2 linked regions of the Danio rerio genome follow. The protein of the gene in region 1 purifies or fractionates together with the protein of each later gene. This does not show direct contact. Links are inferred from orthologs where the notes say so. Each region holds a gene or a part of one and is shown in the gene's direction. Other genes may lie near its edges.

The links. Proteins that work in one complex are often made in the same cells at the same time.
Region 2: the proteins of ddx23 (region 1) and sart1 purify together in Homo sapiens (affinity purification with mass spectrometry; 3 studies listed by BioGRID and IntAct, counting the BioPlex papers as one, with this or other methods). This does not show direct contact. The link is inferred for Danio rerio from reciprocal best matches to the Homo sapiens genes DDX23 and SART1.

The regions. Positions count from the first base shown.
Region 1 is NC_133198.1:15,753,802-15,758,207, reverse strand, and holds the start of ddx23 (probable ATP-dependent RNA helicase DDX23), read left to right. Parts: upstream 1-1,467; 5' UTR 1,468-1,531; intron 1,532-4,267; coding exon 4,268-4,406. Other genes in the region: birc7 (baculoviral IAP repeat-containing protein 7), read right to left, coding at 1-374. UniProt on the Homo sapiens protein: Involved in pre-mRNA splicing and its phosphorylated form (by SRPK2) is required for spliceosomal B complex formation.
Region 2 is NC_133196.1:30,351,614-30,355,273, forward strand, and holds part of sart1 (U4/U6.U5 tri-snRNP-associated protein 1), read left to right. Parts: intron 1-1,904; coding exon 1,905-2,111; intron 2,112-2,203; coding exon 2,204-2,316; intron 2,317-3,375; coding exon 3,376-3,521; intron 3,522-3,660. UniProt on the Homo sapiens protein: Plays a role in mRNA splicing as a component of the U4/U6-U5 tri-snRNP, one of the building blocks of the spliceosome. May also bind to DNA.

The DNA.
Region 1 (4,406 bases):
TGCTCGTCCATGGTCAAGCGCTGAAGCTGACTCAGCAGCTGACCGTCCACAGAATCAGAGGAGCCCCGCGGGACATTGCCCACATCCCTGCCTCTCATCAATCCACAGGTGGGGAAGTGCCTCTCGTGCTCCCCTCGCGGCGTGTCTCCATCCACCCAGTGCCTCAGGATGCCCTCACAACAGAAGCACTGCACCGTATCCCCGTAGCCCAGATAGTGAAAGCCAGCCCGTGCGAGCTCCTCTGGACTCACTGCAGCGTCGCTGGGCCAGTTGTGGAAGGTCTGGAGCCTCTCCTCCTCACTGCGCATCCCGAGCCGAACCTCCGCCTCCATGCGCGCGCTCCTCTGGCGCTCGTGTCCGCGATCTGCGCTCATCCTGCTCACCTTCCATAGCGGGCTGTTCAGGTGTGCCGAAGCCCCCCCTCCGCCCGCCATAGAGCCTATTATTACGGCCAGTGATAATAACAGCGCGGCGGTTCACTATAGCGCACACATTTCCAGAATGTAAGCAAGTTGTTAAAATGATCTGCTGCCCCGTGGCCGAGCCCTGAATAACAATTTATACAATAGACGCCTTTCATGGTGATTTTCTCTAACTTTCACATGATATCATATGAACATAGACCACCTTTTGCCTATAGGCATATTTATATTTTTTGTGGTTATATTAATATTGAAATATTTCATTGATACATTTATAAACACACATGTTTTGAAAGTGATAAGAAAAACAATAAACATCACCATCATCAAAATCATAAAAATAATATAATAATAAAAGTAGTAATAATAATAATAATAATAAGAATAATAATAATAATAATAAGAAGAAGAAGAAGAAGAATAACACAATAATACTGATAATGATGATGATGATGATGATGATGATGATGATGATGATGATGATGATGATGGAGATGTTCTTTTTAGATGATACTTTTAGATGATTTTTTCTTTAAATTTGTGTTGATTATTATTTTTGCTTTTTGTGAGCAACATTTTTTATCACACTATTAATTTTCATTTTTAAATTATTATTACCTTGCTTAAAAGGTAAACTAGGCACAATTTCAAAGAAAATCCTGCTTTCCAAAATGATGTTCTTACTTTTAGTTATAGATTATAAAATTATTTATTTCTATATTATTATTTTTGTTAATAGCTAATAATAATAATAGTTATTATTACCAATTAATTTGTATTATTTTAATGCTATTAACATATAACATAACATATAACTGTTATTATATGCCTGATACAAATAACAATGCTTTTTTAACTTTGAATTTTTAATACAATTTGTACAAAACAAGGCAAGAACCACAACAACACAAAATATATGTATAAAAACAAAAGAACAGCAACAACAATACTGTTTTGTTGTTGTTGAACTTCCCTGGCTTAAAAAAATCGTTTTTGACTGCATCTCCCACAATTCCTTGCCGGAAGTTCGTCATATGTTGACGCCAAACATAATGGCGGCTCAGTGAAACGCACAGGCTTCGCAAGATCCTTAATTTCGATCAATAAAGGCAAGTAAACGCACAAAACTTCTCTTGTTATCCACTGCACAGCTGAACGTTTGTTCATAACTAAGGTTCACTCGTTATAGTCTTCTGTTTAGACTCTGTTGGCCATTGCCGTGTTCTTTGCCTTCAGTGTGGGGTGCAGCGAGATTATTAACTCCAGTGAATTTATTTTCATCTCAAGTTATATTGCACATAGAATGTTATAGTTTTATTATGGTCATCCCCGTTTTAATGATTACATTTGACGTAGTTTGACTAAAATGAGGTTAATAATTTTACCTAAGGTATACAAAAGGCCCTTTCTATTTATTTAAGTCAAATCTGTTAAATGCATTTACCGAGGTATAAGAAAAGAATCTCCAAAATATAAGCAATATATGTGGCAGCTAATCTTCTATAGTGTACATCAGATTCAAAAAACAATATGAACATGTGGTGTTTTCAGAAATTATGTAACGTTAATCTGCCAAATGTGAAGGAATTAACGTTACTGTATCTAAGCTATAACGTTACTATGCTAGTAGAACAGTCTTTAACAAAATAAGCAACGCACTTTGACAAAAAATATTTTATTTGTGCAAAACGGGGAGTTTAAATGAAAGAACAGCAGTGAGTGTATCAAGAATAATAGAGGTAAAGTTGGTTTTATATTAGCACATTTGTTTATTTAGAAGTCTCTAACGTTATTGTTTAGCATGTTACTTTGAATATTCGATCGGAATTAGTGGTAGTGTGGCTTGAAAACAACATTAACACTGTTGACAATTTGACTGTGAACAATGTTGTACTTTGATAGTCATTTGCTGCTAAGTTAATATGATTTCGCTATTTAGAGTTTGCAAATACTTTTATATGGTTGTATTATTAAGGGGAAAGTCAGAATGTGCGTATATAAAACCAGCTTTACCTCTATTCGAGAATAAGATAACGATGATGTCAAATGTTTTTGTGCCGATTAAATGTTGAAGCTTTTATGGTGATATATGGTATTATCGCGATATAGAGCTTTAAATAGGTATAAAAACAAAGTCATTGGTATATTGCTGTATTTTATGCAAATTCAGGGAAAAGAAATGTTGCAACGTACAATAGGTAACACTTCACGATGAAGTTTCCTTGCTTAATGTTAGTTAATAGATTAAAATCAACAGTAAAAAAGGTAGATTCATTACAGTTACTATGTTAATGAAAGTAAAAAAATAAAGTGGAATTTTGTTAGTTAATAACCAAATTTAAAGGGCACCTATGGTGAAAAATCTACTTTTCAAGCTATTTGGACAGACATATGTGTAGGCATAGTGTATAGACCAGGATCTTGGGGTGATATAAAGTTACCCAGTGCTTTTTTTTTTAATTTAACAACATAAAAACAGTGGACCAATTCGAGCTGTTTTTAGATCGACCGCAACTTGACGCAGGAGTGCGGTCCCCCCGCCCACCGAATTGATTGACAGCTGTGCGCATTAACATTTCCCGGTAGTCACATGTATAATCATGTCAACAAGACCAGACGTGCGCAAAGCAACCGGAAATAAAAAATCTGTTCAGTTTGCTAGGATCATCAATCATCATCTAATGTGTAAGTTTTACATGTTTAAAATGTTTTAAAACAGAGCACGTGTGTAATGAAGTACAGCGATTCACTTCAGCTTTACTTCATCAGCACAGCTGCGTGTCAAAACAATTATAAAGGAAGACGTTTCAATCCCTGTTTGGGGATGTTAAATCAGGTTTATTTTGTTCAATAACATAGCAGATATCCACACAGCAGTGGAGATTAAGCTGTATCCTGTCACATATGCATGAAAAAACAGTGCAAAGCTAAGCGTGCTCTGTCTGTCCGTGTGTGTGTGTGTGTGTGTTTGTGTTTGTGTTTGTGTTTTTGTGTGTCTGCTGCGGTGTGTGTGTGTGTGTGTGTGTGTGCGCGCGCGTGAACTTTGTAACGATATTGTGTGTGACTAATCAATGACACTGCACAACAAATACTCCTTGGTAAAGTTCTTACTGTAGTATTTCTCACAAACGCTACACGAGATCTTACTTTAAGTCTGTCTGATGTCTGACGCAGACGAGGGAGGAGATTAAGGCAATCAGAAAGGCACGTAAAAATGGTAGGCGGGGAGGACTCGCCTTAAAGGCGCAGTACGACAAAACTACTGTAGTGAACTACTGGAGTCGTATTGTACAATGTTAATTAATGAATATTAGCCCATTTCTATCAATATTTCAGCATGTAGTAGGCCAGAAGTGAAAAGTTCCAATAAAGTGTTTAAGCTTTGGTGCTGTTTTGAACACCACTGCAAATTCAATGTGAACACTGTATAAATAATTATTCACAGTAGTTTGCAGATATTTAAATATCTTTATTGAGTTATTGAATATTGCCATGTGTCCTATCATGAAAAAGACTTTAGCCTTTATCTGGATAAATTAAAACCTGAAATTGGGAGGAATCTGAAAGTGTGTTAAATTTTAAACATTGTTCCTTTCAAAAATCTCATTTAAGTTTTTTTATACTGCTCAAAAACACATATATTAAACAAAAAAACAAGATATTTAAAACTTCAGGCATCATCACAATCATGTGAAAATGGTCTGTTGTAGGTTTTATTGTGGTTTTTATTATTATAAATCAATTTTCTTTTTATCATGAGCTGACGATTTGCCGGTTTATTGCAATCAAAAGATATCGTGCATACCTCCCTCCTTAACATAACGCACAGTTGCTCTTCTTTCCAGATGGCTGGTGACTCTGAGAAGAAGGACCTGGACTCGGCTGGGAAGGAACGAGAGTCCCGTAAGCGCAGTCGCTCTCGCTCTAGAGAGCGCGATCGTAAAGGATCTCCTGGCCGAGAGCGCAAACGTCACAGATCCCGTG
Region 2 (3,660 bases), on another chromosome or scaffold:
TTCCACTTCCATGGCTGACGATTAAATGGATTAAATAAAACCTCTCACACTTAAAGTGAGTAGATTTAGTGGCAAAGGCTATTACCTGCAAACTCCATCACACCTGCTTTACATTGAATGCTTCAATCATTTTATAGCGGACTTTAACTCAATGGAAGTCTTTTATCCACTCTTTTGAAAAGTGTAAATGGTGGATTAGCATTCATCACATGATCACTAATCAGATGTACCGTTATTTGTAAATTTAAGTGTTTTCTAGAACAAAATCTGTCAGTTCTCTCATCTTCAGCTCTTTCCATTTTTGCGCCTGTCATCTGAAGGCAGAAGCTATTGTTTGAGCGATTGACAGTTGATATTAACCAGTCCATTCACTTACAGTTCTAGAGCAGTGGGCCAATCAGAAAAGGGCGAGAGTGGGGCAAGTATTGGGCATTTTAGGTGCAAAGATGGATTGTGCATGAGTGCCCACGCATGTGGTGAACAATTTGCAATGAAAACTGGTCGCACGGCAACAATTTTATGCACTCGCACAAATGCTTCCGATTATATTTTGAGTGCGCATTGATGAAATTTCAGGCACATATGCGACCAAAACAATTTCGAGCCCTGTTTTTGTCTGCACAAGCTAGATTTTTTTCATAAAATTTGTATCAACTGCTACAAAAGTTAGTGTGGGTGGGGACATTTTCATTTTGCTGTCATCAAATGTCCCAACAAATGTATGGTCTAATTCTCCTTTGCAGCTAAATACCTCATTTTATACAGGTTTTTTTTACACTTATTTTTGATTTGTATCAAAAGAAATCTGCACATGGAGTTATGAGTTGTCTTCTTATCGAATGAGGACACATTCTCTTGAATAAATATGATACAGTGATGTATTACAGTGTAATCTTAAGTTCCAGTGCTATGCTTCATGCAAAAACAAGATTACGAGCTTTTTATATTCAAGAGCTTTGTTTTGTAAAATACATGAATTGTCGAGGATACAAGTATTATTCTTATCTATTACTCACAGAAATAGTGTATTGAAATATTTAATTTAAAATTAAATGTAACATCCCGTTTTTATGACAACCGTATACACATCCATGCTAATTCCACTGTCGAATAAAACTAAATATGCTTCAAATGGTTATCAAAATGATCAGATTTTCAGATTTAAACTTGACCAAGAAACTGTTTACAATAATTTCAATATCGTATGAATGCAACATAAGCATCACATTCTCCTAAAATGAAGCAACCGAGCAAAGCCAAAATTTACAAGAGAAGTCTGATGTCATGTCATCTTTCCTGAGCATTTAAATGAGCAAATATTTCCATGTAATATGCAAAATGGTGCTTTGTTTACAGTTTGTGTGTTGGAAGTACTAGTTTTTTTTGAATGAGCAACATTGATTATTTTAGATCATTTTCTGTATTTTATTCGCATGTAGTTCTTTTTGGTGTGTTAGAGTACAGCTGTTGGTCATAATTCCAGCAACACAAGAACACCATAAACTTTTGTCCTCACTAGTTCTTCAGATAAACACTCCACCTTTTTTGGAATTCATTTTACATCTCCCCTAAAGTTAAAACGATTGAGTTTTACCATTTTTCAGTTCCTTCTGCTGAGTTTCTGGTCTGGCAGGAGCACTTTCAGCTTAGCTTAGCTAAATCATTGAATCATTGAATATTACATTAGCATGTTCCTCAGAGTTTTGATCATTTTCCTATTTGAAGGTTGACACTTCTGTAGTAGATACATTACCTACTAAGAATTGAAATGAAATCAATATGGCTAGGAACAATATTCTCATTCTGGCACAACAATCAAGTATTTTTGCTGCAATAAAAATAATTTATTGTTATTTCCACTGTAGTATTTTTAAACTTTAAACCTTTATGTCATCTTTTTCCAGTTTAAGCCAAAGTCTGTGCTGTCCAAGTATGATGAGGAGATCGAGGGGGAGAAGAAAAAGAGCTTCAGGCTAAGTTCTGGAGGTTTTGTTGGAGGTGAGAGAGAGCGAGAGCTGCAGGCCATCAGAGAGAGTCTGCGCGATCAGGCCCAGTCTCTGAGCACGTCTGCCCTCACTCTTGCCACTGAATACTACACGCCACAGGAGATGGTGAGAACCACATTTCAGCAAGCTTGAATTCAAATTGTATTTTATTTTTGACTGATGGTTTTCTTTTTTCCCCCCCTAATGTGTGACTTAAGGTTGGCTTTAAGAAAACTAAACGTAAGGTCAAGAAAATCAGAAAGAAGGAGAAAGTACCCAGGGCTGACGAGCTCTTGGTTGACGACACTCGAAACTCAGATTTCGGATCCAGGTGAAGTTTTCACTCAGTTGTGTTAATGCAGGACACTGCAGGTGAAAATGGTGAAAAAAAATTATCAACTAATAGTTAACATCTTTACTAGTTGATGAATTACATTGACAATTGCAAACATTTTTATTTTACATAGCAAGTTTTCTAAGGTGCTGTATTAATATTCAAATGATGCATGATTTAATTAAACAAGCTAGTTTGCATTTCTCAAACTAAAATCTAAAAATTTGTTGAACTCTGGTTCAGAATGCTTATATTTCTATCAGTGTTAGAATTTTCATCATGTATTCACCCTAAAATCTTATTTATGTATTCATTTGTTTGTTGTTTTTAATTGTATATTTATTAATGTTCTTGCCATAAAAATAGCCTTGAAAATTAGAAATAAAAATTAGAGGTTTCATTTAAATGTATTGGTTCTGGTTAATATAAGAAATTTAATTTTAAATATGATTCTTTATAAACAAATTATTTACACTCCTTGTATCATCATCATTAGAATTATATTTTTTTGACAAATACGAATAGTAGATTTTTATAGGGGGGATCTGCGGAATTTACTTTTATCACTAATCATTTCTAAAGTACTATAAGCATTCAGAAAAACAATATTCATAGCTTTTTGTTTCATAAAAGTAATATGTATAATCAAACAAATAGTGTATGATCATATTCCTCTGCAAAAATCTTCAGAGTATAGATTTAGTGGTGCTAAAGTTTTATTTTGAGAAGATGGCTTTTGAAAAAGAAAATAAATACATTGTAATTAAACTGTGAGTGACCTGACACACTTAAAAGTGTATTTTAAACGTTTACTGCACTTAAGGTCGAAAAATAAACACTATAAAGCCCACAATCTCTAAAATGATTGAAGGTTATGATAAAATAATTATAATCTCTAAAACATGTTGATGTAAAATGACAAGGTGCATGTAAAACATATTTTCCTGCATTATCTTGGCTTAAATACTCGGGCAACAATACAGTTTTCCTGCATTTCTTGGCTTAAATACTCCAGCAACAATACTAATATTTTAACACAATCATTCTGGCTCTCAGGTCTCGAGGTCGAGGTAGAAAAGCAGCAGATGAGGAGGAAGAGGCAGTGCCCGGTGATGTTGTTATAGAAAACATCAGCAAGTCCAGAAATGTCCTCCAGCAGTCAGATGACATTAGAATGGCCGATATGGACATTAGTGATGAGGGTAAGAGAAAACGTCTTCATGTCCAAATTTAAAACTCTTTTTCCTTTTTTCTTTTAAGGCATCTGTTTCTCTCTAGGGGTCTTTGCTTTGATATTCAAATGAGTTGGATCACTATTCTCGGCACTCACAGTGTTTCTCC